4 linked regions of the Lonchura striata genome follow. The protein of the gene in region 1 purifies or fractionates together with the protein of each later gene. This does not show direct contact. Links are inferred from orthologs where the notes say so. Each region holds a gene or a part of one and is shown on either strand. Other genes may lie near its edges. The genes, in order: RPP30, RMP64, POP1 and RPP25L.

The links.
Region 2: the proteins of RPP30 (region 1) and RMP64 purify together in Homo sapiens (affinity purification with mass spectrometry; 3 studies listed by BioGRID and IntAct, counting the BioPlex papers as one, with this or other methods). This does not show direct contact. The link is inferred for Lonchura striata from reciprocal best matches to the Homo sapiens genes RPP30 and RMP64.
Region 3: the proteins of RPP30 (region 1) and POP1 purify together in Homo sapiens (affinity purification with mass spectrometry; 5 studies listed by BioGRID and IntAct, counting the BioPlex papers as one, with this or other methods). This does not show direct contact. The link is inferred for Lonchura striata from reciprocal best matches to the Homo sapiens genes RPP30 and POP1.
Region 4: the proteins of RPP30 (region 1) and RPP25L purify together in Homo sapiens (co-immunoprecipitation; 3 studies listed by BioGRID and IntAct, counting the BioPlex papers as one, with this or other methods). This does not show direct contact. The link is inferred for Lonchura striata from reciprocal best matches to the Homo sapiens genes RPP30 and RPP25L.

What each region holds. Positions count from the first base shown.
Region 1 is NC_134609.1:16,214,438-16,222,321, reverse strand, and holds the start of RPP30 (ribonuclease P protein subunit p30), read right to left. Parts: upstream 3,006-7,884; 5' UTR 2,965-3,005; coding exon 2,883-2,964; intron 1,377-2,882; coding exon 1,321-1,376; intron 1,006-1,320; coding exon 949-1,005; intron 306-948; coding exon 231-305; intron 1-230. UniProt on the Homo sapiens protein: Component of ribonuclease P, a ribonucleoprotein complex that generates mature tRNA molecules by cleaving their 5'-ends. Also a component of the MRP ribonuclease complex, which cleaves pre-rRNA sequences.
Region 2 is NC_134604.1:23,965,665-23,972,874, reverse strand, and holds the start of RMP64 (nucleolus and neural progenitor protein), read left to right. Parts: upstream 1-4,205; 5' UTR 4,206-4,220; coding exon 4,221-4,374; intron 4,375-4,544; coding exon 4,545-4,699; intron 4,700-5,466; coding exon 5,467-5,543; intron 5,544-5,651; coding exon 5,652-5,783; intron 5,784-6,100; coding exon 6,101-6,178; intron 6,179-7,028; coding exon 7,029-7,210. Other genes in the region: protein spire homolog 1-like, read right to left, coding at 449-574, 1,323-1,487, 1,939-1,970, 2,756-2,990. UniProt on the Homo sapiens protein: May play a role in cortex development as part of the Notch signaling pathway. Downstream of Notch may repress the expression of proneural genes and inhibit neuronal differentiation thereby maintaining neural progenitors.
Region 3 is NC_134603.1:22,720,011-22,727,348, forward strand, and holds the start of POP1 (ribonucleases P/MRP protein subunit POP1), read right to left. Parts: upstream 3,015-7,338; 5' UTR 2,911-3,014; coding exon 2,634-2,910; intron 203-2,633; coding exon 26-202; intron 1-25. Other genes in the region: RIDA (2-iminobutanoate/2-iminopropanoate deaminase), read left to right, coding at 3,062-3,123, 7,265-7,338. UniProt on the Homo sapiens protein: Component of ribonuclease P, a ribonucleoprotein complex that generates mature tRNA molecules by cleaving their 5'-ends. Also a component of the MRP ribonuclease complex, which cleaves pre-rRNA sequences.
Region 4 is NC_134642.1:40,931,600-40,939,160, forward strand, and holds RPP25L (ribonuclease P protein subunit p25-like protein), read left to right. Parts: upstream 1-4,738; 5' UTR 4,739-4,797; intron 4,798-4,962; exon of another isoform or gene 4,963-5,050; intron 5,051-5,259; exon of another isoform or gene 5,260-5,538; intron 5,539-5,710; 5' UTR 5,711-5,719; coding exon 5,720-6,268; 3' UTR 6,269-7,054; downstream 7,055-7,561. Other genes in the region: DCTN3 (dynactin subunit 3), read left to right, coding at 214-300, 1,133-1,216, 1,765-1,823, 2,568-2,627, 3,038-3,127. UniProt on the Homo sapiens protein: May be a component of ribonuclease P or MRP.

The sequences.
Region 1 (7,884 bases):
GAAACCAAGGAACAGAACTGTTGTTCCATACTGAAAATGATCAACAGAAGCCATATACAGTCTTGTAAGCCTGCATCTCCTCATGATCACATTATTTGTTAAAGATGCAATCTCAGAAATCACTGCTGAGTGCCCTATAAATTCCAGGATGTTATCCCCATAGAATTTCCAAAGTTTCATTCATTCATAAAGAAATAGAAGTTGCAAAATTGACTGCTGAGTATACTTACCAAGAGATTACAGTGGGAAGGATCAGAAACAACAAGTGTTAAGCGGGTCAAGACTTTAATTCTTTTAGATGTTCCCTACAGAAAAAAAGGATAATATAAAAAAAAATTAATAATCCAAAGCAAAAATTTGTGGTAATTTCCACCAGTCTGCTATAAAAAGAAAATGGTGTCTTGATATATCTCTTTGATATTATACCTGTCCTTACAAAGAATGACTTACTGTGTTTCTCTGGAGAAGGATAAATAGAAAAGGAAAGAAAAAAGACAAACAACTATGCAGAAAAATTGAGTATGTTTTACTACTGTTGTGATTCCTCAGGCAGGCCACAACAGCAAGTAAAAGCAGTTCCTGAATTAATGAATGTCAGTGATTCAAAACATATTATTGTACTTTTTTATATCCAAATTTTGCTCCATTGAAACCACAAAGTTATTTCCAAAACTTAAATTTCAAGAACTGTACTGTAATTATTCAATTACTAGCAGATTCAAAATTCACACAAAGAAATTTCTTTAATAATTTCTAAAATAATGAATAGAGCTTACCCTGATGTGAGCTAACTATTCTTCCTATGCTTGGAGGTTTAACCATGAAACAATGGACAAATTTTTCTTTTTTGATTAACACCTCATACGCAAAATCACATATACAAACACACAAAGGTAAAAAAGGGTAATTCAGAATAACAGTATATATAGAGAATGCAACTAGACATACTTGTACAATAGGTAAAGATGGAAACAACTCTGAAGGGGATACTGGCTTGATGATTTCCTTGAAAGAGAAGAAAATAAAGTTATTAAAACTGTTATGGGTTAGGTTTACATGTAAACAAAAACTGTGTTCCAATCTTAAGAAATTCACCACACTAAGAAAACTATTTTTGTGGGACAGTACATGAAGCAGATTAAAAATTAATCCAAAGGCAGTTTTACTGCAATATAAAATGGGAGTTTTGTTACAAATACAGAGATTTGTACTTGTGTCTAGATGTGCATTCTGTAGCTAAAGCTATCTGGAAACATGCAGTAACGAAGCAGGTTTACTAAGGAAAAGACAGTAAGACCAAATAACCCCAAGAAAAATTACCTGTTTCTTTTCTTTAAAGTCGATGACATGATTAAGTGCAACTGCAGAATACCCCACTGAAAAACACATAGTAAGAATATTTTGTCAAGTAAACAAAAAGACAATAAATCCAATGAGAAAACCGTAAAATAGTCATTACTTAAATGTCTTAAGGTTAATAACCATGTGCATGTTTAGATTTCACAGTATTTTTTAAAAAGACTGGTTCACCCAAAAAAATACTTTAAAACAGAAAAAAAAAATCTATTTGGTTTTTAGCCTAGTCCAGGCCTTTCTACTCTTACTCAATCGCAGAGCTTTATGAACACAAATACATGGGCTTGGTGTCCCCAAAGGTCTAGCTTAGTTTGGCCCTGTTTATGACTTTCTCTATGGAAAACTGCTAAGTATACTCAGCACAGCTGTTAAAACTGCAGACAACGCAGAGCCGGCAGAGATACAGCTGTCGGAGAAGGCAAAGCGAGCAATTCAAAACGATGCCGACTACACGGAGGAGAAGGTACCGCTCAAAGGGCTCTGAGGAAGAGACGCCAGGGGCGTTTAAACCAGCCGCCCAAACCCCGCACAGGCAGCACGTGGCTGACAACAGCTCTGCAGGGAAAGAGCCGAGCCCTAGAAACTGCAGGCGGAAACACTGGTCCACGTTGGGGAAAAAACAGCTGTTACGCTGGGATACACAGGGAGAGGCAGAGCTGCAAGGCGCATCAGGAGCTTCCCCAGCGACCCCGGCCCAGGCAAACCCCGACCCGGGCAGACCCAGCCCCGGGCAGTCCCAGCCCCGGGCAGACCAGATCCCCGGGCAGACCCGGCCCGGGCAGACCCGGCCCCGGGCAGACCCGGCCCGGGCAGACCCGGCCCGGGCAGACCAGATCCCCGGGCAGACCCGACCCCGGGCAGACCAGATCCCCGGGCAGACCAGATCCCCGGGCAGACCAGATCCCCGGGCAGACCCGGCCCCGGGCAGACCAGATCCCCGGGCAGACCAGATCCCCGGGCAGACCAGATCCCCGGGCAGACCCGGCCCCGGGCAGACCCGGCCCCGGGCAGACCCGGCCCCGGGCAGACCCCGACCCGGGCAGACCCGGCCCCGGGCAGACCCCGACCCGGGCAGACCCCGACCCGGGCAGACCAGATCCCCGGGCAGACCCCGACCCGGGCAGACCCCGACCCGGGCAGACCCTGTCTCGGGCAGACCCCGACCCGGGCAGACCAGATCCCCGGGCAGACCCCGACCCGGGCAGACCCGGCCCCGGGCAGACCCCGGCCCCGGGCAGACCCGGCCCCGGGCAGACCCGGCCCGGGCAGACCCGACCCGGGCAGACCCGGCCCGGGCACTGCGCTGGCAGAGCCGCGGGCGGAGCGCACGGAGCGCAGCGGCGCCGGGGCGGGTGGCGATGCCGGCCTGCCCGGAGGGAAGGGAAGGCTCATCCCGGGGATCTGTGCCCACCCAGCCCGCAGGCTCCGGCTGCGCCTGCCGAGCCGGGGAAGCCGCCGCCGCTCGCGTCCCGCCGCCTCTGGCCGGGGCCGGCCCGCGCTCCCAGCCCAGCCCCACCGGGACTCACGGTGCGCCGCGGCCTCCAGCAGGCTCTGCAGGCACTTCTTGTCCGCTCCCTGCGGCAGGTTCAGGTCGGCGAAGCCGGCCATGCTGGCGGGCGGCGGGCGGGCCCAGCCCGGCGCGGAGCGGCGCACGGCGGCCCCGCCCCTGCCGCCCGCCCGCGGCAGCCTGGGCCCTGTAGTCCCGCTGTGCCGCGCCCCACACAGCCCTGCTGCCTCGCCACGGGACTGCGGTGGGTGGGAAAGGCTGTGGGGTGGTGCCTTAGGCCCTGGAGATCTCCCGTGGTTCGTTCCCAGCAGCGCAGCCGGGCTGTGAGAGACATCACGGCTCTGCATCCCCCGGGCCCGCCGCTCTCCGCCGCCGGCCGAGGCCCGGCGCCCCTGAGGCGCCGGGTGCCCGCCAGGTGGAGCGGTAACCCTGCTCCAGTGCCGGGTTTATCCCCTGTGAAACTGCTTCAGCTCTGTCTGAGCGTTGCCAATAAAAATCATAGCCAATCTTTTCTATGTATAGTTTCATAGCTATTCTCTTTCCTACAAAGCCCCGAGCTGCCATGTCAAAATACCCCTGACGCCGAAGAGGACAGATGAATTCTCACAGACCGATGAATCAGATAAAAGTTCACTGTGTAGCACTGCCACAAAAAGTACTAATATTGTTCTAATGCTGGCAAATGGCACAGAATATGTAAAATACAAATAGAAATTCTCAGTAGGCGGTTTTTGGTGACTTAGAGCAGCCGCTAAAGATAGCAGGTTTGCAATTCCTGTCCAAGTTCAGGTGGCCAGACCAGGGGGTCTTTCCCTTTTTCTGTCCTCAAGTTGAGCTAAATGCTCACCAGGGGACGTCTGTGGAGTATCTGGAGCCCTGAATTCTTAATAAGGTAAAAATGCTTCTAACCAAGGCCAAGGCTGCTGCCAAAGCGTGAACATCCCTCCTTATAGGGTCTGACCTTGATGCAGCTTGTGCAAGCTGTGTCCATGGGAATTGTGGGGACCTGGGATTCATTTCTACCAAAGACATCATGGTTAACAAAGTATGGCTGAGAAACAACAGTGCTTTCTCGGCGTGTTTCTGGACTTCCTGTGTGATGAGTTGCAAATACCTGGGATGATGGTAGCAGAGAAGCTACTTGTGGCTGCAGACACTGGACTAGGAGTTGAAGCAGCTTTGAGGGTCAGCAGAAAGCAGCTCCCACATCTGTATGGCAGGAAAAATCCACATCACTCTGAAAGGGGTAAAAACCCCCAGCTGGTAAGCTGTCATTGTTCATACCACATCTATGGCAACATTGTTTTCTTGACCATATTAGATCAAGATATTTCAGTAAAGAAGCTCTGTTTTAGTCCATCTACATCTGTAAGGTGTTTGCCTGTGACACCACATCAGCCAATACTGCTCCTCTGCCAGCCAACTGAACAAGCAGCACAGCCTGAATGGTATTGCCAAGGTCTTTCTTCAATGTGTGTGAAAACAGAACAGCTCAAGATATTATTCTAGGTTTTCAGTGTTTGATTTGAGTTGATTTGTCTTAATGAATGTAAAAAGCAATCCAGAATCCATTCAGTTATTTCTGAATGGCCCTACTGCAACAGTGTTCAGAAATACCAAAGATTAAGCAGCCTTTGTGTTTGGCAGTATACAAGCAAAAGAAACCCTTCTTTGAGGTTCTTAAAATGGAGGACATTTAAACAGATCTTCATGCAGAAGATCTACAGAACCCTATTTTCTGTAATGGTGTAAGAATCCAAGTACGAAGAACTTTTAGCACCAGGTATCACAAATTGTACTTAGAACAGTGCACAGTCTTATTTTCCATGTTATTATTTAGCTATTACTGCTTTTACATACGTCAGACCCAGTGATTTGGGGAGAATTTCCTTATGGTACTCACTGTTAAGCTGCAAGCTTCTAACATGCTTTGTTTCATTGTTGTCATTAAGTTCTCCTTGGTGAAAACTTATCTCCTCATTCCAAGTGTTTCTTTCTCAATACACTTAGACCTCAAGACTGTCCTTTCAGTAAATTTTAATGCAGAGACCATCACAATTCTTCTAATAGGTTTTCCATGGGCAGCCCCTGGTAGCAACTGTTAGGGTGTTTTTGCTTTAGTTCTGCATTTGGCACTTTTTGGGTGCTAAGATTTTATTTATTACTACCTACCTCAGCAACTATAAGATTTTATTTATTACTATCTACCTCAGTAGCATGAGTGTCACAGCCACTTTCATCATAACCTCATAATCTCCACTGTAAAGATAAGATGGAGTTTTCAGAGTTGGGAGCTCTCATTTTGAGTGATACAGAATTTTAAGCATAAATGTCATCTTAATTGTTCATTTTCTTTTCAGATGCCAGTTTGTCATTGTTAGGATTTGCTGGTTCCAGAAAAGGACAGACATAATTTCATATTTAAGTTGCACAGATGAAAGTATTTATTTTGACAATGGTAAGAAATGGCCAAATACGGGAATAGTTACCTCTCTGTTTTACTGCCACAGAGTGATGATGATTTATCTTCACAAAGACAAGAAAAGGCAGAAAAGTGCAGCTGCAACTATTTTCTAGAAATTAGACAAGTGTTATTTGCTAAACAGTACATGCTGGGAATAAAAATCAAGGTTTCAGTAATACCTCTAGAAAGCAAAGAAAAGGAAAAGAAAAGAAAAGAAAAGAAAAGAAAAGAAAAGAAAAGAAAAGAAAAGAAAAGAAAAGAAAAGAAAAGAAAAGAAAAGAAAAGAAAAGAAAAGAAAAGAAAAGAAAAGAAAAGAAAAGATATGACAGACAAATTAAAACAACAGCTTGAGGAGATAAGCTCTCTCAGGCAAGGAAGGACAAAAGAGGGGATGATAAAAAAGAACAAAAAAAAATTCTGATCTGTTTATTTATTGCATTGCATACTCATGTTACCTTCCTGCCATATGTACAATACTGGATGGTTTAAGAAGGGGAACATAGCAGTACCTCAGCTTTTCCAGCTAAGATGAGCAGAGCTATTGTTTTCTAGAGGCAGCTGCGTGAAGGAAGGTGTTACCATGCTGGGCTGTCAGCGTTTTCTCCTCTGGTGCTGAAGCTCTTGTACTGCATTCCTTGACCCATTTCAGTCAGGATCCTCCACGTTAGCACAGACCTGCTGTCTGTGCTAGCATCAGATCCTCCAGGGAGGGATGAAGGATCCAGGATTTAATGCAAGATTTTTCAACATAAACACTTTGACAGATACAGTCTGGCCCCACTAAATCAAAATGTGTTTGGGAAACTGTATTTCCTTGCCTAGCCCTAATGACCTGTCTTACCTTATCTCACTAACATGGCAGCAAAGAATTGATAGCAATACCCACTGCAATAGTATACACTTAGTATCAATAACAAATGCTGAAGATGTTATGTGATTAGCACTGTTTCTGGAGGAGGGGAAAAATTAAACAGAGGAATTAACTACTTTGGGAGAGGGAAAAATGAAAATAAAAGGTTCTCTTGCATTTTTTTCTTTTTATAATCTGAATATTTTCTACATAGCAATAATAAAATACCAAAGGTGAGATTTGCAAATAAAGTACACTATCAAATATTAACAAAATAGTTTAACTTTACTAAGTGCAGAAAAAAAACTTGGCACAGAATTGGAGGTATATGGAAATATTAAGAGGCTTTTATGCATAGAGAGCCTAAATTACTCATAAGACAGGATTCTACTAAGCTCAACCAGAAAAATGATTTGATTGTATTTTTTGAAGCCTAATGGAAGGTTAAAAAGCAATTTCTTGGGTAGAGAACAAATGTCAGCTTGTTATTCTTGACACCTAATTGGACATTTGTTTCACTTCTGTATTCTATCTGAAACAACATTATTAGAATTTTTAAATATGATCACTGAAAACAAAAGTGGGATGTACCCTTGGAAAGACGAAGTCCCACTTTCATGTGTTGTTATTTTAAGTGCCTAGACTGGATGTCATCTCATGGAATGATGGATTCTCTTTGCCTTTCTGGACACTTGGCCATGTGAAACCCTCTAAACCCTCACGGAAAGCACCTCACTGGATTCAGCCCAGCCTGGGAAACTGGAAGTTATTTTAGGTGTGTCCTAGTAAAAAGCTTTCAAGGAACATATTTTAGTAAGGTGTCAGCTGCTTTGTCTTGGCAGGGTTTTTCACATCTTCTCTGCAGTAGTACATAAATCCCTTTCTATAATGATACATAAATTGACTTAAATTGGTTTGTTTCTTCAAAGGTAAGATTACAACAGCAAATCAAAGAGTGGTAACATGGCCTTTGAGTAGGAAAGAAATCAGGTGATTAACTTGGAATGGACTGTAAGGGAATTTAAGATACAGAACAAAAGATACAATTCAGTCCTACTTTTGGGTTCGAGTGGGTAGGAGTCATCCGTACCCTACCAAATGATCCTGTGTATCATCCACTGAGAACATTTAGAGAATCACGTCCCAGAAGGGTATTGAAAAGCTGTGGAGAAGAATGACTGATTTAATGAACTGTGTTAACTCATTTGCAGGAAGCACCAGATTATAATTTGCTCTGCCTTAGTGACATTTTAAGCAACTGAAAAATTGCTTTTACTAGGAGTATTAAACTGTACAATTTTATCAGCCTTTGTGATAAGAATCTATTTTGAACAAAATTTACTAAGTTCCTAACTCCTTAGCTGTTCTTCAAATGCTATTTTTGAAAAAATATGTTCAACCAATAAGGAAACATTCTCTCTACAAGTTTTGCCTTAATGTTTTAATTTAGATATGTCCTTGCCTTTTCTAAAGGCCTTTTTCTTCCTAATATTTACTTAACTGAGGACAAAAGACTTCATTTATCACCTGGTGGGGTAACTCACCTGAGGCTCAAGGTTGATGAACACATTATGGGTGGTTAGCAGTTATTTTTATTTTGTGATTTCGTTGCTTTTGTCGTGATTTTTGTCGAGCAACTAACAAAGTGTAGGGAAACACTTGACTAAACAAGAAGATGCTTCCAACTTGGTAATGGTCAAAGACCTG
Region 2 (7,210 bases), on another chromosome or scaffold:
TCTGCTCTTGGGGAAAGAGGTTTATTGGGGGTGCAGGAAGGTCCTGCCTCGTGCTCCCAGACGCAGCACGTGGCTGGGCCTGAGGGGGGGGGAGGGGAGAGACAAAAGGAGGGGTTAGGAGAGGGGAAGCCCCAGGAGGGGAGGAGGTTCCAAGAGGGGAGGAAGTTCCAAGAGCCCACATGGTCCCTCAAAGCCTCCTTATAAAGGGGCTTCAAGGTGGGTTGGAATAAGGCATGGCCAACGGGGTTACAGACACTTGATGTTTTAGAAGAGGGATAGAGGTGCGGGGTGAACTATACATGTTTTGGGGGGTGGGATGGAACAGTCCATTTCACCCCAGGACCCATCCAAAGGCAGGGGTGTCATCCGGCTAGCTGGGAGAACTGTTCTCATCCTAGCTGTATTATTTATGAACAATCATATTTATCTATCATCCACAACAACATACCTCTTTGGAGGTCTGGATGAAGGTCACAAGCTCCTGTAGTTCCATATATTCAATAAACAGATTCCTACAAGTCATTTCATAATGGCTGGTAGCCTCAGAAGGCTTGGACAAGTGCTCCTCACAGGCCTGAAAGAAGTGAAGCTATTTAAAAAAGATCTTGAAATTTAAAAAAAACCCAACATGGTAGGATGGAATAAAGATTCTGTTTCCTCAATCCATGGTTAAAAATCATCTTCTTCACTTACATTGTTTTTCTATTGCAGATACAAAAGAACAAAGAAGGAAGATATCCAATCTTTTACGTACAATAATGGATGTAGGTGTGTAATTTGTTTATCTTGTTTTCCATAAAGTGTGCTTTTAAACAAGCACTCGAAAGGGGAAGCTTCCAGTTCAAAGAACAACAACCCACAGCAGATGGAGTCACTTGCCCTGTTCTTTTTCCCTGCCCTGATCAGACAGAGGGATGGGAATTTTCTCATACCTTTAAATTATGGCTGAGAGGAAAATATCTGTTTGATTTGAGACATTCAAATCCCAACCTTTACAAAAGCCAAATACTATAGAAAGGGAGGTTTTTTAATATCCACAGTGTTCTAGGTAATGAATTTGGAAACTGTGTACAGAAGGACTTTGTATACACAATTGTGGGAGAGCCATACTCAGTCTTCCTTCTTAATTATTTTCCATGGGCACTTACAAACATCTTAAATAGTTTTGCTTTTTCCCTCTGATGGAAAAGCCAATGTTCCCTCTCTGTCCTCCAAACAGGCCACCCAGCTTTCTCTCAGAAATGGTCTTGCCTCTTGGTCAACAGCGCTATTCCATCAACTCCTCTAAAGCTGCTATATTTACTAAGAGGGAACAAGGAAACCTTGATAACATCCTGCAGGGCGACTGGTGGTTTTGTTGCCTTGTCATCCAGCTTCAACATGAGCCACAGCAGTTTCTCCAAAGGATCACTCAGCTCTCGCTCCATTTGGCTGTTGATTCCCCAGTCCAGGGCTTCATAGATCACCCTTCCCAGGTACTCCAACAGCTACAGACAGAGACCAAGGAAGCAATACAGCACAAAGTGTTGTGGAGAACATCACAGCTCTTACTTTCCAGCCATGTGTGCATAGTCCTCTGCTCCTGAGGACTGAGAACATCTCTCACGATGAGAAATACCCGCCCCTGCTCCCACTTAAGCTGGTTTAAAGCTTTTAAATGGCCTTAACTGGTACCTCTAAGATATCTGTCATTAGGACAACAAGAGTGTGGCCTATGCCACAGTAGACAGCATCTGTGCACACTGTTTCCCAGTCCCATTGTCTTACTTGAGTTCAGTCCAAGCACTTTGTTTCCTGTTCCAGATTGCAGAGGAGTCACTCTCACAGTAAATTCAAGCACCTTGATACTTTCACAAGACATCTGCATCTCCTGAGCAGGCTTTCTACTACAACAGGATTGTACCTGCACACACAATGAAGGTAGAGACACAGGCTTACCTTGTCCTCTGACTGCTGAATGCTGCCAACATCTGAAAGAGAAAAATGAGGATAAGGGGAGAAAGACAGCTGTACAGGCATTGGCAGCCAGCTTTTAGAACCCTTTTCAAGAGAGGGAAAGAGTAAACATTGTTTTTATTAAGGTAACTAACTCCTCTGACTAAAGTCAGTCCTACCTGGGGAAAGTAGGCCTGTATTTGGGGAGTCCTGGAAAACACTATAGGAGACTCATGCTATTGTGAGCATTAGCCAAAGTAACAGCTACTGCATTTTGTTGTTTGCTAATTGATATCCAACCTCCAGGGGAGACACAGGATTTTTGTCTTCTTTACTACCCACTCTAGTCCATGAAGAGTTAGCCTAGCACTGACCTCTGCTGCAGCCCAGCCCAGCCCTACATAACACAGTTATTACCACTTGCTGGGTTACACATAGTGACCAAAAAAGGGAAAGTACCAATCAAGAGTTATCATAACAAAAGAACCATACACTGGAAGATGAATAGAGCAGTACATATAACAAAGCCTCAGACTATTTATTTCAAATAACATTAAGTAGTAGAAGGCTTTCATCACACCTATTCCCTAGAACCAAATGATTCAACAGAGCACTATTAGAGAATTTAGTAGGTCATACATCTGTATTATCACTCATCTACAGTCCTCTGAAATGAAGTACAGGCAGGAGAATAGCTTCATGACAACATACCCAGAAGAGAGGGGGAAAGAAAACCAAAAAAGGCAGAGGAAATGAAATTTCCTCTACTTTGTCCTCACATTTCAGAACCCTTGGCATCTGCGGGTACCTATGCTCTTACCAGACTTGTGGTAGACCTTGAAGGAAGCAGTACCATCAGCATGGATAAAGATGCTCTCAGAACCCTTTATGAACACAGAACAGAGAGGTGGGCTGTGGGCCAGCTGCTCTATTTTCCTGCAACACTGGAAGCAGATAGCCCAGGCTTGCTCCTCACTTAAAGCACGTTCAAAACACCTCAGAAGCTCAGCTACAGAGACCTTTGTGATCCTCTGCTCACAGCCTGGAGGCTCCATTTTTCCTTTCACCTCTAACCTCCACTTTTAGCCTAGGGAGCTTAAAACTTCCTTTTCCAGACTGGGCAAGTTTTCACAGCAGCTTTTTATCAGTACTAGCTCTTGATTTGCTCTTATCTCTCTTACCTACAGGTGCAACCAATTATGCCAATTTTTGCTCTTTTTAAAGGCACATGACTTGATTTGTATTTGTAAGAGATTTCTTAAAAGAACAGAGTAAGTATACAACAAAATGGAATCCAAAGAAGGTAAGCGTGTACAAAAATTGTGCTCCATTTAACTAGTTCCTAAAAATTATATTAATTATACCAATATTTTCAAGTAGAAAAAGAGTACATTCAACTTCAGGCAGGGGAGGAAAGAGGCAGGAAGTGTCTTGTAGTTGAGGGAGGAGAACTCAGAACACCACAAAAATTATTTTGATAGGAAACTATTCCAATAGCACTAATAAATTACAGCAATCAACTCCTTGGGGCATCTGCAGTGGGCCCCAAGGAGCAAGTGGGCCCCTCGCACAGCAAATTCCAACAGCAGGGGCTGTGCGCGTGGAGCGATTGGGATGGCCAGGAGGGTACCCGGGGCACGGGCAGCAAGGCCCTTCCTTGCCCAAGAATGCCGATATCCCAGAATCACAGGATCAGCTGGGTGGGAAAAGATCTCTGAGATTACTGAGTCCAACCTGTGACAAACACCAGTGTCAGCTACACCCTGGCACTGAGCGCCATGTCCACTCTTTCCTTAAACACCCCCGAGGACAGTGACCCCGTCACCTCCCTGGGCAGTCCATTCAGTGTCTGATCCCCCTTTCTGTGAATACACTCTTCATTGTGTCCAACCTGAACCCTCCCCGGTGCATCTTCAGACTCTTATCGTCTGGTCTGGATGTGAATGGCTCCAGGTGTGAAGCCGATCCCGCGGCTTTTTCAGCGCTTTGAGGGCTGTGTGTGACATGGAGGGCACAGCTGAGGGCTGGGGACTGGAGTCATCCCCAGAACACCCCTGCACCATCCACTGCTGCTGCTGCGCTGGCTCACCACGGCCACAGCTCCCGAGGCGCACAGTGGAGAACTGCGAGGCTCGAAGTGTAAATAACACTCATTATTTATAGTTATTTCCCTTCTCGCTTACGGCATTTGGGGCTGCAACGCGTCAGCGCCAGGCCCCGGGCCATGGCGCACCCCCGCGGGGTGACTTGGTCCGGCCCGCGACTCTCCCCGCCGGCCCACCCGGATGGTGCTGGCCACGCTGGGGCTCGCCGCGCGCAGCGGGAAGATGGCGGCGCCCAGGGCGGCGTGGGACGGGCGGGACGTGCCCTGGAACCGGCTGGACGTGCCCTGGCCCGCCAACAGCGCCACGGTGCCGCTGGCGGCCCAGCACCCCACAGGTCCCGGCGCGGTGCCGAGGGGTTGGGGGGTGTTTGAAGCCGTTCCCGAGTGTTTACGGTGGGTGGTCGGTCGGTGGGAGCCGGAGGAGTGGCCGGAGCGGCGGCGGGCGCCGAGGCGGCGCTCGGTGCCGGTGCCCGGCGCTGAGGGGGTGCCCGGGTCTCGCCCGCAGTGAGGTTGCTGTCGACGCTGCGGCGGCGGTGCGGCATCGCCGGGAAGCGGCTGTCGGGGCCGGGCCCGGCCGCCGAGGGCCGCGTGCTGCGCGCCGTGCTCTACGTGTACCACAGCAGGCTGCTCCGGCACCGGCCCTACCTGGCCCTGCGGCAGGTGAGCACCAGCCCCGCCTGGGCGGCAGGGACCCGGCAGCTGGGTACTCCCGGCCCCCAGAAAAATCCTGTGGAGTAGCACTTTGTGCTCAGAGCATCGTGCCAAAAAAAAGTTTGGGAGCGGGTGCATTTTTGTTCTCTCACGGTTGAGCCCAGTGGGTTTCTTGGCCCTGTGCAGCAAGTGCAACTTCAGTTTTCCAGCCCTGGTCTCCGATACTCACGTTGAGACCCAAAATAGGTACAATTCTATACCTTTGTGTACATGAACAATACAGGGATATAATTCTCATATAATTATAATAATGGGAGGGAGGAATAATAATCCTGTCCTACTTATTAGATACTTTCTGTTTTAAGATGAAAAATGAAGACCTTGTCAGTTTTCCAGGAAAGGGGTTATCAGCATCTTCAAAGAACTGTTTTGAATTGGAGCAGGAATGGTGCTTACCTTCTTGATTTGCTTATGTGTTTTTTTTCTTGACATCCAGTAGTATAGGCCCTTGTATACAGCAGGGAAATCATACAGCACCAATTAAACATGGCCTACTCCAGTCCTTCACTTAATTCTATATTTACAGTAGAGCAATGAAGGAATGTTTTTCATCGTAGTGCAGATACAGAAAGGTCCCAGAACATGCCATTACACAAACCTGCAGTGTAGGCTGTTTAACTGATAAGGAGAAGGTGTCATTTAATATAGTGACAGTTCTTAGACCAGGGCACTCAGTCTCTCAAAATACCAGTCAAAGGAATTTGCTTTTCTCCTAGGTAGAGCAATGTTTGAAGCGCCTATGGAAAATGAATCTGGTGGGCTGCCTGGAAACTCTGGTAAAACTGATTCCCAAGTAAGTGTCATGATCCCATATCTTGTACTATCCATTAACTCAAATCTGCAGAACTAAAGGAAGAGGATACTAGATCATAACCAACTCTTCATCCTTGTCTCAACACAGGAAAAATGCATCCAAAGCCCACACAGAGTGCTTAGTTCCCAGCCAGCCTATGCTGGAAACTGTGGCTCTGAAGGTATTGGGAGGCTGCAAGCTCATACTACGTCTGCTGGATTGTTGCTGTAAAGCTTTTCTGTATCCTTTCTTCACCACAAAAACATGATCTTAGAGTTCACCAGTAGCACCTCATATAGGCCCTGTATTGCTGATGGACTCAACTGTGCAATTCATATGTGGAACTTTAAGTTCCTTTGACAGCCAAAGACCTTCTTTTCAAATTATTATGTAGGGACCTCAAGCTGTTTGGCTAGCAGCTATTCTGACCTTCAGCAATCCAAAATTTGGATACTCATCTCCCAGATTATTCCTTGTGAGTTACCTCTCGTTGGTGTGTTCAGCAAGTCTCATTACATGCTGTTTATTTTTTTCACCTTAACTGCTGTGATCTTCAGCTTGTCCATTAAACATCTCTGCTCGAGGGAATTCATACTCCTGAATACTGTGGCTTTGGGGCTCCTGAGCCGGCTCTGGTTTGTGTGTTCAAAAGTCTGTCTTAATTGTGTCTGTTTGATGTGCCTGTCAGGGAGAAGGGCTTGTAATTAGGCCTGGCTGCTAAGGGAGTTTTATTCAGTTGGGAGTAGGAGAAGAGAGGTCACTCCATTCCTCTGGACTCGATTTTAGCACCTGCAAAGCTGTACAGGTGGAGAGAGACTTCTTACATGCTGTTATGGATGGCTTTGTTCTTAGATCTTAGCAAACTGTATGTAGCTTTAATGAAATCACAGTGTTAGTGTCAACCTGCCACAAACACCAGGTACTCTGTGCAGTAAGGAGTAAGTCCTGCCTCATGGGGAAATGGAAAGGCTGGGTTAAACATGTTCTATTATACCACTGAGTTTTCTAGGGAAATTGATGTTTTGGTCTCTCTCCATCTGGGAGAATAACTGCTGTCTGTAGCTGAAGGAGTAACAACATTGTTAGAACAACTTGCAACTTTCTGTGGCACAAGAAATCTTCTAACTCCAGGAAACAAAGAGCAGACAGTTGTATGGTGTCAGGGCTGCGTTGGTGCTGGGTGTGAAGACCTCATGGCACCTTGGATGTGACCCAAGAACCTGATGGGTCCCAAGTGTGACACTCAGCAAAACTCTACAGAAACGGAGGGGCTTCTTGATCAGGAATTTACAAGTCACTCCTGTATTCTGGTGTGGAACAGTTCCTTGAAGTTCAGACTTAAGGAAAGCAGGGTGATGGAGTGTAAAAAGGTAAATTTGTACTGAGTGGAAACAGGGAAAACAACAGTTGAGTTGAAGGTAGTTGTTCAGTGAGCATCATGTTTTGCTGGAGGAGACTCCATTCCTTTTTGTCCTCTGTCTACAGGATTCAGTACAGGTGTGTATTGCAGACCCTCGTGTCCCTGTACAGTGCCTTGTCAACAATGCTTCATCTGGTATCTGAGACCCAACAGACCCCTTATATCAAGGGGTTTACCTTCCCTTCTGATATCAGTGACTTCCTTGGGGTTAACATATCTTCTGAGGCAAAGAAGCAAAAGGCTAAAA
Region 3 (7,338 bases), on another chromosome or scaffold:
TTATGATCTTTTCACATAAACAAACCTGTTATGTATTTTGGCATTTCCTCAGAAACACTTGGGTGTCCTCCTTGCCATCCTCCTCTTCCTCTGCCTCTCTCTCCTCTATTTTGCCCCTTTGAAAAATTTTGGTCTTTCCTGTAAGAAGGCCCAGATGACTGATTTGAAAATTTCTGCTGCTGCTGCTCAGAACGAACATCTCCTGGAAGGTTTAGAGATTAAAAGAGGTTAGAGAAACACAAATTAGTCTGAGTAACTGATAACTCTTATCAGTCTTTCCTCATAAAACTGCACTGCAGACTCCTATTACATTTAATACATGTAACTGAAAAAGCCACCAAAAATCAGAAGAATTACATTCTTTCTTACAGGAATAAATAAGAATTTTATGCTGCCCTCAAGCAAACTTGTGATAGATTAAGTAACTTTTACATGCTCTGAAAATGGCAAGCAATCCAGACTTTGCCTCCAAGAGTCAAATCGAAATCAGTCCATGCAACATCATAGTGACTTTTAATATTGTCTTGTCAGAGCTTTAGTAACAAACCAGCAAAGTTATTTTTTCCACTTTTTTTTTTTCTATAAGCAAATGTATTCTTGCCCGACATATATTTCTTTCACAGCAATAATTAAGGTAAATATGACACGTGTATGTTGGTGCAGTAAGTTGCTTGTCTGGTACAAGCAAACCCATACTGAAATTAAATAACTAAAGCCTGCAGTAAAGCTTTCTAAGGTACAGACATACCTTTCAGGAGTGCTAAGCACCTAGCAAGTACCTAAAGTTTCAGAGAGCCTTGAAGTCCTTATTCAAAGACCACTGTATATTCAGCCTAACAAATATTATATATTAGTTTAGATTACTTTATGTTCAGTTAAGCCCTTGAGATATGGTTCTCAGGCAGTTCATGCTGGACATTCCAACTAAAAAAGCTGCAGACAGCCACTCCTATGACCCCATCCACTACATCAAGACAAGTGCTTGAGAGAACAAGGGGCTACAGCATTCAGGGATCTTCCCTAGTGAAAATCAACCTGTGTGTCCACAGACATGGAAAGAGAGATTAAAAAATCCGGTTTTCAAGTTGATCAGCTTCTTAACCAAGCCTATCCCAAAAATGCTACCATTGGCATGAAGACCAGCCAGGAGCAGACTCACATCCAGCAGCATCTCAATTTATGAGAACTTAAAAAGACAAAGAATCCCCTTTTTCCATTTCAAAGAAGCAAGAAACTGAAGTTTCATGTTCAGCAGCAGTAGTGTTGTAGCCTGCTGCAACCACACATCATGCAGAACTGCAGTAAAACTGCAGAAAAAATAATTTGGTGTAGAAACAGAAATTAGCTTTTATGTGGAACAATTCCCTGACCTGGTTTTCCACATACTTGAGAGCAGCATCATCCAGACACTGAGGTGAAGGTGAGAAGGAAATAGCTGGGAAAGAGGCATGGAAGCTGTCTCAGCAAATCTGTGTAGGGCTACAGCCTAAAATTAACTCATATCACAAACACACCCTCTTAACGGAGGAAGTAAAAATTGTAATCAGAAGACCAAAGACTGTTTGGCAAAACAGTCACTGACTTAATAACTAAAAAACCCTTATATTATCTTAGCTACTGTATAGATCCACAGTTTTGTAACTCCAATTTACATTTTGGACCTCCAATTTTCTCTCCTATTTCTACAAAACAGCTTTGTAAAACTGTGATACTGACACTACAGAAGAACGCTACATGGATGAAAATCCACACCTTATAACATAACAAAAAAACATAACCATGTAATCTTGGAAGTTCCCTGCTACAAATACAGTTAGAAAGACGTATTGATCTGGCAGTACTCCTGCAATGACATTCCAAAATCTTCAGACATAGCTAAGCATAATTTGCTATGTCATTCTGTCTGCATAGGAACTCTTCGGTCACCTAAATACACAGTGATACTTCAGGGTTTTTTTTTCATTCAATGACAAAGATGCAATTTGTCAGCTTCTGAAGGCCTCACAGTAACAAGTCCTTTTATGTGTGGGGCTTTTCCCAGAAATAATGCAGGTAACAAAATATCTAAATATGTAGATGGTGGTGGAAACTGAGGTCCGATAGAAGCATAGAGGATTGCAGGTCAAACCACAAGGACAAAAAGAGCATCTAGCATACAAGCTGACAGGCTCTTTCAGTCTCTTGCTGCAAAGGTTACCTGGACAGGACACTGCTATTATGGGACACGTCCCGCTGCCTCCTGCCAATACCTTCACAGACAGAGGAGCCACAAGGCGCAGGAGGCAAAGGGGCGGGCGTGCAGATGTGAGGAACAGCAGCGCAAGCATCGCAGCACCAGCGATACACGGCCCTCCCGCAGCTCCCCGGCCCCGCGGAAAAGCAGGGGAGACACCGGATGGGCTGTAGCATCCAAATTCATTTTAGACTAAGAACCGTAGGGATTCGTCATGTAATCGAAGGGATGATAGAGAGAAGGGCCTATTCACAGGGTACAGAATAGTTTGGGTTGGAAAGAGCCTCTGGAGACCATCCAGCCCAGCCCCCCCGCCAAGGCAGGGTCACATAGAGCAGGTTACACAGGAACGCGTCCGGGAGGGTTTGGAACGGCTTCAGACAGGCTCCCACAGCCGTACCTGGGGTCGGGCAGGCTCTGCTCCCGCCGCCGGCGAAGGGCCCCGGCTCCGCGGGCAGCGTGACGCTGGCCGGTTGGTTCCTCATCTTCTTGGCTCGCTTCTTCTCCCGCGCCCCAGACATCTCCGGCGGGGTTGCGGAGCCTCTGTAGCGGGAAGAGGCGGGCAGCGGTCGGCGGGCGGTGCAGCCGCGGAGCTCGGCACCAGCCCCGACGCGGCGCTCACTCGCGGCGCGGCCTCCACCGACACACGTGGACACCCACGCCCCGGCACTGCGCATGCGCACTCCTACAGCACAGCCCTGAAGGACTACATTTCCCAGAGGCCCCCGCGGGCGGTGGTGGGCGGGCCGTGCCCCGGCTGGCGCCAAGGGGAGGGAGCGCAGGGGGGCGGCCCCAGCACTTAGTGCAGCTTCAGCGCCGGCTCCAGCCATGGCCTCGCTCGTGAAGAAAATAATCAGCACTACCAAGGCCCCTGCACTGGGTCCCTACAGGTAATGCCTTAGCTAAGAAAGATGTGAGAGTCTTGGTGGATAACAAGTAGACCATGAGCCGGCAGCGCCCTTGCAGCCAATGCTTTCCTGGGGTGCATCAGGAAAAGTGTGGCCAGCAGGTCGAGGGAGGTGATCCTGCCCCTCTGCTCGGCCCTAGTGAAGCCACGTCTGGAGAGCTGTGCCCAGTTCTGGACTCCTCAGTACAAGAAAGACAAGGAGCTACTGGAGAGGGTCAGCGGAGGGGCACAGAGATGATGAGGGGTCTGGAGCATCTGAGGAGACTGGGGGAGCCGGGCCTGTTTAGTCTGGAGAAAAGAAGACTGAGAGAGGATCTTATCAACACTCATAAATACCTCAAAGGCAAGGTGCCGAGAAGATGGTGCCAGACTCTTTTCAGAGGTATCCAGTGACGGGATAAGGAGCAGTGGCCATAAACTAGAACACAAGAAGTTTCAGCCCCACATGAGGAAGAGTTTCTTTATTGAGAGTGGCAGAGATTGGAACAGGCTGCCCAGGGAGGCTGCAGAGTGTCCCTCTCTGGAGACGTTCCAAACCCAGCTGGATGCATTCCTTTGTAACCTGCCTGCCTTGGCGGGGGGCTTGGACTGAATGATCTCCAGAGGACCCTTCCAACCCTAACAATTCTGTGATTTTGGGAGCAGGTTTTGCTGGCAGGGTTTTGGCAGGTCTCTGCAGGTCAGGCAGGCAGGCCTGGGGCTGAGGTGAGAGCAGGACCCCTGAGTGGGGGCCAGTCCTGGCACTCCCTCCCCCAGTAGCCCCCAGGGAACCTGGAGTCCCAAAGCACGAGTGGGGCTGTGCTGCCATGGCAAACTGCAGGCCAATTAGGGGAGGGGGTATAGTTCAAAAAGTTAGTTTAGGGAAAATAATTCTGGAATTAGTGGTAAGGAGTGAATGGGGGAAAAAGAGGAAGAAGAATGATTGTTCTCCAGAAAAAGGTGCTTGGCTAGAGACGAGTGTGTTGTGTAGGGAAGCTGGAAATGCTGACTGCACAGGTGATACAGAGTGAAGGCTGAGCCCAGTCCAGGACAAGCTTGGTTAGATGTATAATTCAATGCCTGGGAATTAAAAATCCTTTCTTATTTTAAATAGTTATGTTTTTCAGTCTAAAAAACTAACTGCTGTAAAAATATGTAAGATGTTCAACATTTTCACAAATATGTTGTTGTAGCAGTTGTATATAGAATTAAAATAAAGAAAAATACCAGTTTTAATTAGATAAAGACTTCTCTGAAATTTGGATGTGAAAAGATGTTCAGTCAGTATAGTAGATTCTCATAGCTAAAGTACTAAAGGGTTATTACCAGGACGTTTTCTAAAAATTTTTAATTCTGTATTCAGGCTTTATGTTCACAATAGCATCTTCGTGCCTTCCAGGTGCATTTTTGTCTCCATTACACTGTGTCCTAAGCTTTCTAAGCTTCAAACTGTGTGTTTCTTACAGGCTTTATAAAGATGGAAAAATACAAGTGTAGAAGCAGAGAGACATGGCATGAAGGTTAACTTCTGTAAACAATAACCTGTTTGTGGATTGCAGCCAGGGGCCTGACGTTGCTTGGCATCAGGAGAACATCTAAGACAGGGGAAGGCAACAATTCTTTGCACACACACACCAGTGTCCCAGCCCTCAACATAGCTTTCCACTCTGAAATGTTGTGCTTATTGGCAGTTTTTGATGAAATGCTGCTTATTGTGTAGCTTGTTAAATGTGTGACAAGTCTAACATCAGTAAGTTTATCAGTAACTTATTTTATCAGATTTTAGTAAACTTGACAAAGTCCAGAGGGCAGAAGTTGCACAAGAAATAACTGCCACATCTCTGCTGTGAGGTCTGAGCTTGGTTATGCAGGGATGAGGGCTTAATGTGGAATGAAGAATTGGGATGAATGAGCTGCATTCCTGGTTCTGCTGCAGCCCTTCAGTATGCTTTTTGGTGACCTATTTTTACTGTATTTTTCTATTTCCTTTACTCCATCCATTTGCCAATACCTTGAGGTAGGTAGATATATAAAAAGAAACATATCTATGTGTGGGTCTATATATCTCATTAACATTATTAACAGGATACTGTTCTTGTATTAATCCACAATAATTTATGTAAAGAAGATCTGATTAAAAAAGAGCATGGTTCCTAACACCATCTCTCTGACAATGTTGTTCTAAGGTCACAGTGTCAGCCCAGTTATGCGTTTAGGTACACTGAAGCCTGAATTACTTTAACACACATTCACATCCCTGCTGATTAATGAGTAGCTACCGTTGGCCCTAGTTATGAGGTGCATCTACAGTTGAAGAATGATTGGGGTTTGTGGAGTTGAAGTTTCCCTTAGCTGCACTCATGCATTTGAGTGCAATGCAAGTCTGTTCCTTGGCTGGTAAATTGTTCCTAGTCTCAGTGAATGGAGGATTCCACTGGTGAGCACACCAAGAGCAGGAAGCTGATCAGACCCAATAAGGCTGCTGCAGATGTTGATCTGGCAGTGGTATCAGAAGGCTTCAGCCCGTTCTTTCCCAAGTTAATAATGATTTAGGACTCTCAGATGACCTCTGAGATAAACATTTCACTGTCATTGTGTTGTACTGCTTATCACAAACCAAATCTCTTTTAGTGGAGAACCCGTACCTTCTTGTTGTACAGCTCTCTGTGCTTCAAACAGAAACAGAAGTTTGTGCTCTGAGGGGCCCCCTCCACAGCAGGAGTGGTAGGAAAGAAAACTAAAGTGTGTACATGCACACATTTCTATCAACAAGACTGTGTCAGCTAGAAAACTATTCAGTGGTTTCTCTTTGTATGGTGTAGTTTTGTGATTTTCTCCAGTTTTGTTAGTTGATGACAGAAAAAATAATCCCCATGTAAGATAGTTTACTATATCTGAGAAGTTGCTGGCTATTTTTTCCCCATATAAAATTACAGGAGAATGTAGGACAGGTGTAAAAGGAAAGATGGGAATGATGGTATTGTTCAAGCTGCCTAACCCTGATTATTTGACTGAGTCCCTAGATTAGGTTTGTCCCCTGTGAGTCCAACTGAGCGAATCTCAGTTGAGAGATGTACTAAAAATATTCTCTGAATGTGCCCCTCTATTTCCATCAACATTAAAGGGAAGAAAACCTCCTATTTCAGATACCTCAGGGAGGTAATTCTAGTTTGTGTAGCTTGAGAGAATTGTTGAATGTTGAAAACAATGCGTTTCCTTGTGGAATGAGAAGAGATAAGAAAAACAGTTCCAAAATAATCTTTCTATAATTTCTTTGCAAAATATTTTTAATTACTGGTTGAAGAGAATTAAATTGTGTCTCTTGTATAATGTTTGCTAGATAGTTTAAATCTTTGTTTTCAACTTTTAAACTCTTTGTAGTAGAGACACTAATACTTGCCAACTCAGCTTCAGCAAAAGCACATTTGACATTTTTATATAAATGTTTTGCAAATAACTTGAAGTTTGCATTCTTCTGAATTAACCCAGCAAAGAAGTCACTCAGGTTATTTGGTGAGAGGAGAATGAGTGTTCTGGGGATGGAGTGGTCAAGGTGTTTTGCTGACTGGCCAAATTCATTACTCCGGAGGAATACTGCCAGAGAACCAGGGTGCAGGTATCACCTCACAGCTGTAACTCATTTTCATAGTGCCTGTTTAACAAGAAATATGTTAAATCTCTTTTTTATTTTCTTTTGGTTTTTTTTTTCCCTCCATTGATCTGCAGCTGAATTTTGGTTGAAAGGTATTGTTTGCTTCTCAAACTAGGATGGAATATTTATCTGGGCAGGTGCAAAAAATGTTTTTATTTACTCTGCCTTCCCTCTGTGCTATCTGTACAGAAGCTGTATATCTGTATGGAACCTGTAGCTCAGTTTAGTGTTGTGTTGCTGCATTCACACCTTGTGCCTTTGCAAAAAACAGGGTTTATCTCCTCAAGGGAAGAGCTATGCACTCCCATAGGTGATATAATCCCAGCTCTTCAAAAGTTTAAGCAAATTGGTGTATGACTGCATGTACAGGCTTGCATGTGCAAAACTCAGTCTGACACATGATAAAGTACTGTAGAAAATTTGAAATGTGCTTTTGGATTTGAAGTGTTTTTGTGGGGAAACATTAGACCTAAAATGCCACTTGTGTTTTCAGCCAAGCCGTGCTGGTGGACCGGACAATGTATATTGCAGGGCAGATAGGGCTGGAACCTTCCACTGGGCAGCTTG
Region 4 (7,561 bases), on another chromosome or scaffold:
TCAGTTTGTTTGGCACAGAAATAAATAACTGGGAGAGGTTTATGTGCTTGCAATCTCCAGCTCAGCAGGCAGAGTGGGAAATGGGCGGCTGGAGCCTGTTATTTGCTCAATTTCCATCTGCCCATGTCAGGATCTGCTCTCCATGAAATGCTGCTCTTATGAATGCCATAACATCTCCCTACTTTTCGTCTCCAAACCTATTTATCCCTCCAGTTGAAGATATAATAAAATACCTTGACCCCCAGTACATTGACAGGATGGCTGTTCCAGACACTATGAAGCTGCAGTTCATCTTGGCAGGTATGAGATGAGGGGAAAGAGGAGGCTTTTGTAGCACTGCAAATAAAGCATCCTTTCTCTAAGATGGGTCAGGATGAATTTATTTTCTTCAGTGGTAAAATGTGGCACGGCAGGCCCTGTGGAGGTATCAGAGAGATGGTTTGCACAAGGGTGTCTGTCACCCTCAGTGCTCCCTTGTGCACAGCCACACTGCAGTTTTGTCAGCTCTGATCTCTTCTGTATTGATCATTCAATTTAGCCCCAAATTCATCAAAGGCTGGTAAGAAAAGCGGGAGCTAGGATGATTTCCTTACCCCACTTCAGTATTCTCCAGGCTGGGACAATTGGGTGTGTTTTGACATCCCCTAGCCTTGTCCTCTCTTGACCCAAGGAGTTTGATCAACCCGTGACCAGTATAATCTGTCAGTGGAATTCCACTGAATCACGGAATGTTAAGGGGGTGGAAGGGAACTTAAGGACCATCCAGTCCCAATCCACCTTCCCCAGCTTTCCCAGGTTGCTCAGACTCCATCCAACCTGGCATTGAACACTGCCAGGGATGGAGCATCCACATCCTCCTGGGCACCTTCACAGTAAAGAATCTTCTCCTAATATCCAGCCTAAATTTCCCCTCTTTCCATTTGTACACTCCTTGTCCTATCATTAGAACGTGGTGGAGATTCTCCTGCCTGAAATTGGTGTCAGTCAAGACCCAGGGATGAGCAGCACAAAAGTGATGAAAAATCATGAATCCTTTCTGTAAAGACAGATCAGCTGGGAAAATTACCACTAGTGAAAAGCCAGAGCAGTGTTTTGTGTTTACTGATGTTGCTTCTTGTCCCCACACAACCAGAGGAACAGGCTATTCCTGCCCGTGCAGCCCTTCTGGAGCAAGTGAAGAACCTCCAGCCTATCTTGGACAGCACCAGTATCCAAGGTATGCATGTTCTGCAAGCTGGAGCTGCAAATGCCACCTGCTAAGCTGTGGCCTGTCCTGCTTGCTTTCTTTTCTCTTGAGTCTGAGACTAGAGAAGAAGACAGCTTAGTGGTGTGAAAGTAAACTGAGTACAAAGTTAGTCTGCTCCTGCCACATGCTGCCCTAGTCTCCCTTGCAAAGTCATGGAGGTGATAGAGTAGCTTGTGAAGCAGGCTAAAGAGAGCACTGTGGCAGAGGGGGTGGAGCCTGGCAGGTCATTCCTTCCTGTGAGCTGTTTTACATCCAGAATATCTGTTCTGGCCAGTGGTTTAGTCCCGTGTGTTTCGTGAGTAGCCCTCGCTGTGGGCATCCCTGAGCTTGTGCCATGTGCAGGATAGTTATGTAATTTTTTTTATCCTCTGTGAGTTTTATCTATAGTGTGGGACACTTGCACTCAGCAAGTGGAGTTCTGCCATGCTGTGCTCATGGAGGAAGACTGGGGTTTACGTTGGGAGCTAATCCCATGTGCTGTAAAACAGCCCAAACTGATTTCTCTTTTGTGCTTCCAGCGGTTCCTGACCATGCAGCCAAACTGCAGAGGCTCTCACAGATCCACATACAGCAGCAGGTACCGTGAACATTCCTATAAGTATTGAGTAGAAGGGCCTAGAAACCTTTTACAAGTGGCTGTACTGACACCCAGTATTTGTAATTGCTTGAATTGCTCATTTATGGCAGTTCTTTGCAATCTGAATTTTCATACTACAGTCTTAAAGAAGTTTTAAGTACTCCTAGGGGAAAAAGGAGCCAGGATTTCTGTGAATTTGGTCCAAGTTGGAAATTTGCCCACCATAACCCTGCTCAAAACAGCTTTCAGTGACACATAGTAAGGGACATTTGGTTTAACCATCTTGAATTCCCCCTTTTACTGAGACTCTGAGGTGAAGCATTGCTCTCCTCCAGTGTCCTACTCTCTGGAACGTTGTTGACACTGTCAGCCTGTCCCTTCACCCTTTCCCTCCCTGTATGAGCACTCTTGGAGCTGGCAGTGAGCAGCCTGGGCAGTTCCTAATGGTCTCTTTCAGCATTTTGTTCTGAGTTTCTGTTCCGGGGCAAGCAAAGCCTGGATACTGAGGAAAGGCAAGCAGCAGTGCAAGCCTGGGGGGTTTGCTGCTTCATGGGACCAGTGTTTGTCAGTTTTCTCTTAATTGTGAAAACCTGTCCAGCTGCAGTGGGCACCACAGCCAGGGCCTGAGCACTGATCTCAGTGCTGGCCTTGGATGAGTTTCCTGCCATGCTGTCGTGGACTGGGAAGGGAGGTATGTTGTTCACCTTATTTATTGATCATGCACTGCGGCTCCCCTCTTCACAGGAGAAGCGTCACGATCTCACTGACAGTGTCAAGACACTCCTTGAGGATTACAACAAAATGGTATCCTTTAAAATGCCTGGAACTCCTGAACTGACTCCTTCCCCTGGCTGATCCCATTGCATCTCCAGCCTGGGGTTTAACAGCCTTTCTGATGGGGTGACACCTATGTCACTGTCCTGGCTGCGAAGGATCCCAATGCTGAGGCACATCCCAAAGCCAGAGTGGGTAGGGAAGCTGTGGAAAGCCCTTGCATGGCGGTGGTGTGTGGAGTTCACAAAGTACCTCCTGGACTCCCATGGGTGTATGGTGCTGTGCAGTGGCTCAGCCACTGGGTGGAGTGAATCCATGAAGTGCCTTGGTGCCCTGGGCCTCTCCTAAGGAATCAAAATTGTAATGGTGCTGTCAGGATGCTCTGACCTAGGTTTCTTCCTCACAGTTTCCACATAACTTTCCTTAAGTGTTGTGTCCAGACTTTGCTTCTCTCCAAGCAGTTTGTGCAGTGGAATGAAATCCTGACACGCCTGGAAGTGGCCAAACAAGCAAAACCTGTGGCAGAGTGATGGCAGAGCTGGGAGAGTGGCATGTCCAGAGCCCCTGTGGCACAGCTTGCATCCTGCTGGTCTCAGCTCCTTCCTGCTTGGTGCGAGCATGCTGAAGTGACGCAGCAGGATCCTGGAGCACCCAGCTCTGTGCAGAACTGTGCCAGCCGCCAGTCAAAGCCACACTGCTCCTTAATCTGCCACTGTTTGCAAATCTTTTATTTCTCTGAAATGCATCTCAGTTTTAATGTATTTCAAAACCCCATTTCTGTGCTTACTGTGGGCCATAGTAAAGTCCTGGAATGCTAACTGGGTTGTCTGTCTCTCCCTCAGTGTGAGGACTGCTCCTGGCACAGACTGGGGATATTTCCCCAGGCAGTGATCTCTTTGCAGCCTCCAGGAAACGGCTAGTGGTTCCTTTCAGCCTTGGGCCAAGGGCAGGGAAACCATTTCCACACTCTTCCTGTTTGTGTGAGTTGTCTGCCCAGGAGAATCTGGTCTTAGGGATCTTTTCTGCCTTGCTGTTCTCCTATCTGTGTGCTGAGAGAAGGTAGCAGCTTTTGCCTTTATCCTGCCTCTGCTTTCCTGAGGCTGCTGCAGTCTAAGGCCCGTTCTGGCTCTTTGCCTTTCTAGAGGGAGGCATAGGCCATGCCTTGCCTGGTCTGGCTGTAGCATGGAGTTTCCAAGGCCATACTTTTGCAAGGGTCTCAAACCCTTCAGGTCGGTGAAACACTGCCCAGCTGAGTGTGACCCTGGGAGTCCTGCAGGAACGGGCAGAATGCCCACAGGAATTCCAGAAGAGCTCGCCGGTCCCAGAGCTGTTTCTGATCAGCAGCCTCGCTGGCTGTCAAACCACGGTGGGGCTGCAGGCCTGCGGAAAAGCCCCGCTCCCTGCAGCTGCCCGAGGAGCTGAGGTGAGGGTCAGGGTTAGGGTCGGGGTTAGGGTCGGGGTTGGGGTTAGGTTGAGGGTTAGGGTCAGGGTTAGGGTTGAGGTTTAGGGTCAGGGTGAGGGTTAGGGTCGGGGTTAGGGTTGAGGTTAGGGTGAGGGTTAGGGTCAGGGTTAGGGTGAGGTTTAGGGTCAGGGCTAGGGTCAGGGTGAGGGTTAGGGTCAGGGTTAGGATCGGGGTGAGGGTGAGGGTTAGGGTCAAGGTTAGGGTGAGGTTTAGGGCCAGGGCTAAGGTCAGGGTTTAGGGTCAGGGTCAGCGTTAGGGTTGGGGTGAGGGTTAGGGTTAGGGTTGAGGTTAGGGTGAGGTTGAGGTTTAGGGTGAGGGTTAGGGTTAGGGTGAGGTTTAGGGTCAGGGTTAGGTTCAGGGTCAGAGTTAGGGTTAGGGTTGAGGTTAGGGTGAGCTTGAGGTTTAGGGTCAGGGTTAGGGTGAGGTTTAGGGTCAGGGTCAGAGTTAGGGTTGGGGTTAGGGTTGGGGTGAGGGTTAGGGTCAGGGTTGGGGTTAGGGTTAGGGTCAGGGTTAGGGTGAGGTTTAGGGTCAGGGTCAGGGTTATGGAGAGGTTTAGGGTCAGGGTTTAGGGTTAGGTTTGGGGACGCCGTGCCGCGCGGGGCCCGCAGCTCGCCCCGCCCCCGCTGTCACCGCCGTGCGATTGGCGCGCGCCTCCTTCGGGCCCCGCCCGCCTCGCGCGTGCGCGCGCCCGGCGCCGGCCGCCATCTTGTGTCGAGGCGCGCGCTGCGGCGGCCGCAGGTGAGCGCGGGCTCCGCGCGCCCGTCCGGGACCTCCCTGGCTCCCACCGGCATTCCCGCATCCCGCCGCGCTCTCCGGCTCCCCCCGGCGCCCCCCGGCGCTCTCCGGCTCCCCCCGGCGCCCCGGGCTCCGATGGCGGCGGCGGCCGCGTGAGGGCCCGGGCCTCGTGTGCTCCCAGGGTTCGGAGCGTGTGCCGAGGAGGACGCGGTGCGGGGTGCAGGGTCTGGGCGCAGCGGGACTCAGGAGCCTGCGGGTAACAAAGTACTGCGACCTTCAGCCCCTTGAGCTGTGCGGTGGGGACGTGGGCTGCCCTGCACAGGGTCAAGCAGACCTAGGACAGGATGGCACCTGCCTTGGCACAGACGGCAGCTGCGAGGCCTGGCCTTTCTGTCCTTCCCTCGAGGAAATGTTTTTTTATTCCTGCAACCCCTGGCTTGCCATCTCCCTTGTGACATGCAGTGTTTTAGCCTCAGCTAGGCTGGTCAGGTCTCCATGAGCCTGTATTTGTACACGACTTGCTGCATGTAAATTGTGCTTGAATTTGTCCTGTGCATGTTCTGGTGTGGCAAGCATCCCCGAGTTCTGTTCTCAGTCACCCCAGCTCACTTTTTGTTCTGTCTTCTCTTGAGATACAGCAGTGTTTTCATGTCACCATGGTTAAGCCCACAACACTAACACTTGCTTTTTTCACAGCCTGCTTGCCAAAACTCAGGCTGCCCTGTGGTATCATTCATATTGTAAGTATGTCCTTAAGAGGACTGGGCTAATATTTTGGTTGTCCCTTTCCAGGATTTCCCAACCCTGATAGTTCAGAGTGCCCTTCAGAGAAAAGCTTGTGGCTAAATGTGGTGAGAGTTTCTTTGGGCAGCAATTAGAGTGGGCAGTGTGTTCATGGGTCTGTTTTCCTTTTCAGCATTGCAGAATGGAGAACTATAAGAAGACCAAAATTGTGGAGAAACCTTGTCCTCCTCCTTTCACTGACCTGCCTGCTGATATTATTGAAATGAAGGTGAAGGACGGGAGCAAAATTAGGAATCTGATGGGCTATGCCATGAGCAAGATGGAGCAGGACTCAGTGAGGCAGATTCTTTTCACTGGCTCAGGCAAGGCTGTTAGCAAGACCATTACCTGTGTGGAAATCATGAAACGAAGGCTCAAGGAGCTGCACCAGATCACCAAAGTGCTCTTCAAACAGATTGAAGAAATCTGGGAACCCATTGTGCCTGAGGCAGGCCTCGATGCCTTGACAGTGAAGAGAAACATTCCTGCCATATGTGTCCTGCTGAGCAAAGATGCCCTGGATCCTCAGGAGTCAGGATACCAGGCCCCAGGATCTTTTGATGCCTTCTGGACTGAGACACTGAAAGCAGAATCACAGGGCCAGATGAAGAGGAAGCAGGGTGGAGGCCGGGGAGCTGCCAGCACAGGGAAGCACCCTCGCTCCACCAGGGGAATGCCGTGGGGGCCCTGAGGCGGCAGATCCGCACGTGGTTCAGGGGAGCTGCAGAAACCAGCCCGGGGCTGTGGCTGCACGGCTGCTGCTGAACACAGGGGTTCACAGAGGTGTGAGGGGAGGGCAGGAGGAGCAGACTGTTAAACTGGGTGTGATGATAGCTGTCTGAAAATGTGTTTTGACAAGTTCCCTTGCCAGGGGCTGCCAGGCTGTACTCCTTAGGGGATCGTGGAAGATGGGAATTGCCTCTTCTTGAGCAAGAACAGTTGGTGTGCTGTCAGTGAGCCCCAGAGAAGCACTGCTAACCCAGTGGGGTTTCAGGTGCTTGGGTGTGCAGCAGCCCAGGCAGCGGGACAGACACCTGTCTGTGTGCCAGGTGCAGGTTGCTCTGACCAGTACAGAGGGGAGACAGGACCTGATCTGGAATCCTCAGGCAGCTGCCTGCATCACCTGGGCTCATGAAGTGTACAGACAGCAGGGCACAGGGCTGGGCCAGCCATTTCTGTGCCTGAAGAATCCTTCTGCTGAGCCTGTTGAGGGGGTTGAATGTAGGAGTGCCAGGATACAGCTCTGGCATCATGTGCATGTAGCTCCTTGGCTCAGCAGAGCTGGCGGTCCTGGTTCTCTCCAAACAGGCAGCAGTCAACTCACGCTGTAGCCAGCCTGAAATCTTGTGGCTCTGCAGCTGTCCTGGGGTGGTGGTAATAGGAAGCTCCAAAGGATCCTGTTCTTTCCCCTTTCTGCTCCTTGAAAATGCGCAAAGATGGCTTTAAAATAAAGATGTAACTTCATGTAACTTGGAAATTTGTCATGTCTTACTGATCCCACTGGAGGTCACCCTGTAAGCATTGGTGGTGGAGTTGTGGCTGCTGGCTGAAGCTCTACTCTTCCAGCCTTCCTGCTGCTCTGTGTTTGTTCCTCTCATGACTGTATATGGACCCTGATCCAAGGGGAGGTTAATAACCTCCTTTCACATCCAAAATAGATCAAGGTTCTGGTGTTTTCCTCTGAAGTTTTTTGCTAATTGTTTTTCTCTGCTTTAAAATGGCTGGAACTGCAGCCTCAAAAAGACTCGTCCGGAACTCTGCTGAGTGATGCAAAGGATGTATCGTCTTTTCTTGTGCACTAGTTTCCCTTCTGGAACAGGTCTGGTGAGTGATTCTGGGCCAGAGAGAAAGGCTATTCCTGTGACGGGCTGAGCTCCTGCCTCAAGAGAGCTCACTCCTGTCCTGAGCACTCCCTGTCCTTCCCGTGTGCTTGTGCAGGGAGCTCCAGCTGGACCCACGCTCTGTGCTGTCAGTTAAATAGTAG